Linked DNA regions of Coturnix japonica. The protein of the gene in region 1 purifies or fractionates together with the protein of each later gene. This does not show direct contact. Links are inferred from orthologs where the notes say so. Each region holds a gene or a part of one and is shown in the gene's direction. Other genes may lie near its edges.

What was found.
Region 2: the proteins of LAMP2 (region 1) and TMEM192 purify together in Homo sapiens (affinity purification with western blotting; 5 studies listed by BioGRID and IntAct, with this or other methods). This does not show direct contact. The link is inferred for Coturnix japonica from reciprocal best matches to the Homo sapiens genes LAMP2 and TMEM192.

The regions. Positions count from the first base shown.
Region 1 is NC_029519.1:15,331,254-15,334,490, forward strand, and holds the end of LAMP2 (lysosome-associated membrane glycoprotein 2), read left to right. Parts: intron 1-1,730; coding exon 1,731-1,873; 3' UTR 1,874-2,417; downstream 2,418-3,237. UniProt on the Homo sapiens protein: Lysosomal membrane glycoprotein which plays an important role in lysosome biogenesis, lysosomal pH regulation and autophagy.
Region 2 is NC_029519.1:20,889,390-20,893,212, reverse strand, and holds part of TMEM192 (transmembrane protein 192), read left to right. Parts: intron 1-3,081; coding exon 3,082-3,346; intron 3,347-3,823.

The DNA.
Region 1 (3,237 bases):
ATTAAAAGGGAAGGTGACTTTTCACATCAGGCCCAAAAATCTTGGTAGCCAAAATTTCTGGTTATTTTGAACATCTGTTCAATGAAATGGCTAAAATTCGCCCCCCGTTCGTACGGCCTAAATGTGGAGGTGTGCATTGTCCAGTTGTGTCAGATGCTTCTCAGAAGCTCCTAACGCTTGTGCAGCAGCAACACATGGATATGTGTCAGCCAACAGCAGTGGCAAACTTAAAGAGAGGTGAAAGATGGGATGTTCTTGGTATCAAACATTAAACCTTTTTGTACTGTTAGTTAGTGTCTTGCAACAGTGCTGTATTGTAATACGTGTTACAGCAATTGCCTTCCTTTAAAGAAGACAAAAAGGGAATTTCTTTTGCTGTCTGCTGGGCACCTTTCATCCCTAGCAAGTTCTTTTGTAGTAATAGCCCATTATCCAGCATGTAGTAATTAAATTGCAGATGTTGATCTCCAGTGATCTGAGGTGCCTGAACTCATAGCACAATTGAAGCTTCCTCTTTTGAGGTGCTTCAATACTTTCTTCAGCAGTCAGAATGACTTCACTTAGCTCATGGTGTGAGATACACATTTTGTTCCTTTTTCCCCACTTTGGAGCATTGCTCAGCTTGGCAGTAGGTGCCTTCAGCTTTGCCGGAGCTCAGTGTTCTTAGGTGCTGAGTTTCCATGTGCTCTTGCTTTCCTACCTCTGAACAAAAGGCCTTACACAGCCTTTCTTGGAAAGCTGTGGTGCTGGTGACTTCCCATCACCGAGGCTGATTCAGATGCTCAGATAGCTTAAATACTCACTTAACAGCTGATAACTTTTGGCAAAGTGTGGTGCTTGCTCTGTTCTAATATAAACACAAGCAAAAAAGCAAAGCAACAACCTGCTGTAAAAGCAGAAAGCCAATCACCTTTGCCACCTTTGCAGTGCTGGAGCAGCGTGCTGACATGGTATCTCATCTTATGGAGTGTTTCTTCTTGGCACAGAGCTCTGCTCTGTCTTGAAATGGGTGCAGATGCTAAGCCCTGCTTCTGTGAGTGCTCATGGTGCACCATGGAGTTCAGAATGAGTTCCCAGTGTTGGTCACTAATGCTTGCTCTGAGTGATTGCGTCACTCAGGGGTTCATTGCATCCTTTCCAGCTGGTGTATTGAAAGCTATTGTAGTATTACAGCTGTCTCCTCTTTGTTCTCTTTGGTTGGTTTCGGTCAGACCTGCATCATTCTCTGCCAACATCGATAACACTTTTCTTGTATTTGTATTGAAAATAAATAAAGTTACTCACCCAAAAGATGGTCCCTCGGTGTTTTCCATTCCATGCTTTCAACACATGTCCCTGGGCTGTCCTTTGGATTCCTCAGGAGTTGGTTTGATGCCTGTTAGCCGTCTGTGTGTCCAAAGCCTTGAGAAATGGCGGTGGCTGGGGGGTCTGGGGAGTCTTTTGGTAAGGCAGCACTGTGCCAGCCTGTGTTTTATGTCACTTTATTGCTGTTAACTGAGTTGTGAGTGGCCAGTGTGCAGAAATCGCAAATGACATGGGTAGTACATGTTTAAAGAATCTGCTCAATGCTGGTTTGACTTCAAATATATTACGTATGTAATACGATGTTCTTGGAAACGTTAAGTGTCTTTGCTCCTTGCTTTACTTGGTTTCTGATGCTCGGTTTCCTTTACTAATTTGTTCTCACTTCCCTTTCTTGTTTTTTGTTTGTTTTCTTGTTCTTTCTGCAGCTGAAGAATGCTTTGCTGATTCTGACCTCAACTTTCTTATCCCAATCGCAGTTGGCATGGCACTTGGCTTCCTTATCATTCTTGTCTTTATATCTTATATCATTGGAAGAAGAAAAAGTCGTACTGGCTATCAGTCTGTATAATCTCTTAATTAATTCTCTGCTGCCACCCCTGTGCTCTTCTCCTGACCCGTCCCTTTAAAAACAAACCAAACGTTGGTAGGTTTTTTTAATTAAAAACTACATCACAACAAAATAATACGGCATGAGATGAATTGGAAAATGTACTTGAAGCTGCCCTGTGGTTGTTGGAGCAAGTGTTCTGAGCACCATAGAAGTGAGTGGGGTTACGTGTGTCCATGTGAGAGATGCGGTTGACTACAGCTGGCACTGAGAGACCTTCCTTCTGTTCTTTAGTCCTTTTATATGAGAACACTTCTAGTTGTGTACAGCTATCAGATATTGATAGAGCTAAAACCACGTGATAAAGGTGTGAATGCTGCACTGAGAAGGATTGTTCGTGCTGTGGGAAAATGAAAACAAAGCTCGCGGTGCTTCTGTCTGGAACTTGGCTTGTGGCTGTTGTCTTCTTTCATCGTTTAGCAGCTTGTTCCTGTGAACCAGTCTGAATTTCCTCCTGAATGTAAAGGTGGTACCTTGCTAATAAATCAACCTACTCTGAGGAGAACATCTGCTCTCCTAGTAAATTCATGTGTTTAAGATGAGTATGGAGAGGCTGACTGCTGATGTGTGTGCAATTGCTTTGCACTGGTGTGCCTGTAACTCCCCTATTTGCTGAGACTCAGTCTTAGAGAGCTCTCGCTGCTCAGAAAAGCCAGAGGTCCACTAAAGTACACGGTTTGTGTTGCTTTCTTTGACTGTCTTCTCCTTTTTGTTCTGAACTCAGTTGTGGAATGAGGATGGGAGGGTGTAACCTCACTGATAGCAGCTTGCCTTGGCCCTGGCTGTGTGCTAAAAAGGACTTGTGAGAAGAGCAGGCAGCACTGGTCCCCAGCAAAAGGGTTGGGTGTTCTGAGGATGGAGAGCGCGTTGTGCCGAGATCCCTGCAGTTTCACAGGCAAAAAGGGGAACGCTGAAAAGCTGCAATCTAGGAAGTTATTTATAGGATCAATCCGGCTTTAACCTCCTAATTATTACTCTCTCAGACTAAATTTTGAAGCGGGTAAGAGCACAAGAGGTGTGAGAAATTGTGAGCGTAAAGCAGATACTCTGTAGTAAAGAAAGTGACTTGTAAAGGAAAAGAGCACCTGACTTGTCCAAAGCTGCTTTCAGTGTCCTTTCTTTTCCAGTTCTGTGTTCCATACCAGAACTGTACTAAGACAGAAGCTCATGGTCTGTGGCTGAGTGCTGCTTTGCTCCCACCGGTGTGCGTTGGTCAGTCGGAGGTGGCTCTTGGAGCTGCCTGGAGTTAGCAGTGATGGGCCCCTTGGTGGAATGGCCGCTCTGTGCTGCAGCAGGTGCATTGTGGCTGTGGCTCCATGCTCAGG
Region 2 (3,823 bases), about 5.6 Mb from region 1:
GACAAAGCAAGCTTTTGTACTTAACAGTGTGAAGGTCTTGCTGGGATTGGTAGACAGAAGCCGAGGGAGTCCTGTCTAGTAGTAAGTTTATTCTTTGAAAGCTGAGGATATTTATTGCTTATGATCCTGTGGAAACTTCACAGGAAGAACAGGTGAAGAGCTGTGATCCTAAGAGGAAACTTGAATATTACTTTCATGGCATAATGCCGTTAATACAAACCTGGAAATGGTGTGCTTTTAAAGCCAGAGAATACTCAAGACCAGCAAACTTAGAAATTCTGTAATTGTAAATGACAAAAATTCTATCATCAGTCCCACGCAAAGCATTCTGTACTGGAATTTCAGAAATCAATTTCAGCCTCAAAGCTGTTTGAACAGTATGCTCTGGCCTTCTATTTTTAGAAGCAGATGTTTTGTGTGCTTCCTAGTAATATCAACAAATCTCCCTCTGTCAAGCAAATCTGGGGAAGTCTGTTCCTGCTGTTCTGCTGAGTAGATGGCTAAAATTTCCCATAGAAACTCAATATTTAGCCGCACTTGTTTCACCTACCTGAATAACACTGATACTATCAGATGGCATTTCAGATCTGCATTATGAAGGTAGACACTGCTGTTGATGGTAAAGAACTACACTTTACACTTTTTAATCTACACGCTTTCCAATAAATATTGGGACTGTTTCTTTCTACTGCTGTAAACAGTTGTAGTGAAATGTCTGTCACCCTTATGCTAGAGAACTGCTAGAAACCTTTCAGTTCCCGTTTCTTTCTTCTCTCCTGCAAGAGGAGAGAAATAGAGGGTAAAGGAAGTTCTGCTCAGGTCTGTATAAACATGCTGTTTTCCAGGTTAAGTCTTGCTGCTTTTGCTGAACATGTTCCAGGGCAAGTCAGTAACTGGAACAAAATGGAGAGGTATAATTTTCTGTCAGTGGAGTACAGCAATATATTTGCCCATGAAACGGTGCTATCTCTTGCTGGAAAAGAAGCGTGCTGATGGATGGGGAAAGCTAGCTTGTTTTGTTTGGTTTTTTCCCCTTTCCCTCTCAATTCTACAAATGTGTATGAACTCTGGAATGTGGAGACATCAGGTTAGCTTATGATGGATAGCCAACAAATGCAGCAAGTATCCTGGAGAAGTTAACTCATTATAGTATTGCAAGGTAGAGCCATAATGCTTTAATTGTTTAATATATATTAGCCATAAAATTATTTGTGTGATACTTGGTGTAGTTCTTCTCCTTTCTATACCCAGAAGTGGTGCTAGGCAGCAAGCAGTTCCTTCAGTTGTGCTTGCCTAGTCACATTGAATTCTGGAGTGTCCTTATGCTGGTGTGTGTTGGGGCTGGGGTTCTGAATGGCTTTGCATTTCCCAAGCCTTGCTTTTCTCAAGGCTTTTGGCTTCTGTCAGAGACTCCAGAGCAGTAGAAGAGACAGACCAGAAATAATACCTTTATATTAACCCTTTCTCTTTTCTGTCTGTGTACATAAAGAAAACTGAGCTTCTTGAATTCTACTCTATCAGAGTGTGTGTGTGTGTGCATATATATATATATATATATATGTATATATACACATACATACACACACACTATAATTACCTTGACCTGGGATAGAAAACTTGGTGTTGGACTTCCTCAGAATGTAAGCTAAACATCCTCATTCAATGGCACTCTTAATGCAAGCTGTCTCCTCATTTGTGTCAACACATAGAATAGAGCCGCAATGCTGAAACATGACAGCTGGTATCGCACCACTTAATGTAGCCATTTTGTGTACTAGAATACATTTCTTACACTTAGAGTGAGTTGACCTAGCTGCATTGCAGATCTTAATGGCAAACCTAACAATAAGTGGACTAAACAGAGGTTAGATGGATTATTCTTAGCTCTGTAAGAAAAGGGGATGGTTACATTATAGCTTAAATGTTCTGTTGATAACTACCTTCTTAACTTATTTCCCATTTAGGATACTTATCATATCTCTGAGGTAACCTTGAATTTTAATTGCTTTTGAATTATACTCTTAAGACTAATGCAGATGCTTTTCCCCCACTGCTTTTTTCCTTCTGCATTTTACCCTGGCTTTCCTCTGTGATGTCATGTTGCTTTCTGATGATTGCATACAAGTTGTTCTTTTTCCACTTATTCTTTCTCTAGCCCCTCAGTCATGAACTCCATTCAGAATTCAAGTGAGCTGTGAGGGTGGTTCACCTCAGTAGTTAATTAGTGGCTCTAAAAGGCTGACTTCTGTGAACAAAGTTGCTTGAGAAATAACAAAAATAAGTTGAAGGGTGTGAAAGGGGTGGATGTGCACAAAGTGAAAAAACAAAACATTTTGTAGGGATTTCACATGCATATACCTCAGATAATCTGCACCAGAGACTCTGCCTTCTAGTTGCTTAGAAGATTGCATGTGCTGCACTGTTGATGCTGGAAGCTTGGAGAGAAGCCTACAAGCCATAAAAGCTTATGACGTAACTTCACTAGGCCAGTCATTCCGATAAACTTTGAACTAAGTGAAGAAACTGATAAGAATTACCCTTAGGGGTTTTTTATGCCATATTAGTAATTTACTGTGTAAGGTAGTAAGTTGCTGATTTGCTTTCTTTAATGTCAATCTGGAGATTGGATTTCAGAAGATTAATTATCACTATTGAAACATCAGATTTTTATTTATGGAAAGAAATGTGGACTGTCCTAGGGAGCAATTAATTGAATGAGGTTTAAAAAACAAAAACAAACAAACAAAAAAACCCCCACCTTTTATTGTGTGAATTATTTTCCCCTCAAAGTAAAGTTGGGGGGGGAGGGTAAGTGTCCAGAAGTCTGGTTAATTATCTTAGAGATTTGGGCAACAGTGAAATTGATTTGGGGGGAATACTGAAAATAGTTGTGATTCTCAACTCTGTTCAGCTCTATTCAAATCACATGTGACTGTGGTAAGATTATCTAATGTGTAAAGCTTATCTCAACTTTAGTGAAATTGATACAGAAAGTAATGTGTAATAAATCATGGCAATCTGTCTTTTTTTTGTATAGCTGACTGCTGACTTTGGGTTTTCTCCTTTTTGTTTCTCTTTCAGGTTGCTTTTGTTGTTTTAGCGTTTTTAGCAGCTATGTTTTGTTCTTACCCCAATCCAAATCAGGATAAATGCCCTGGAAACTATACTCACCCATTTAAAGTACAGACTGTCATAATAATTGCAAAGGTAATTCTATGGATTCTGCATGTGTTTTTTGAACGTTATGTCCACCACCACCACAGCAAAATCAGAAGCAGAGGCTATTTCTTAATATATCGATCAACAAGGCATCTCAAGAGGCTTCCACTGGTGATGCATTCTACAGGTGAAGTGAACTTTTTTTTTGTTTGTCCTGTAAAGCTTTATGTTCTGATGTAGTGAAAGACTGAACAATTGTATATATCATATTGTGAACTTAAAAATGAAAAAACCCACTTCACGAGTGTATGTAAAGGCTCCTTTATTCAGATTGGGTGTTCTGACTTGCTGGATGCATGTTGTAAAGAACTCTTTATGGTACAGAAGTGCTCAGAAGTTGAAGTAACAGATCTAGTGATTTGTGATTAGCTGCTAGTGATATTAATTTGCATACTGATTAATGCATCCAGAAAGCAAATACTAAGCATTTTCAAGCTTAGTATTTCAGTAGAAGTTTTAAAAAAAAAAAAAAGTAAAAACAGATGTTTCAACTATTGTTCAATAAATGTCTTGAGTAGAACAAGTGCAATAAGTTTTCAGTAGGGCTTCATGTTTTGCTCTCCTTCCGACTGCACTGAAAAGTGGATGGTACGTGATGTATGAC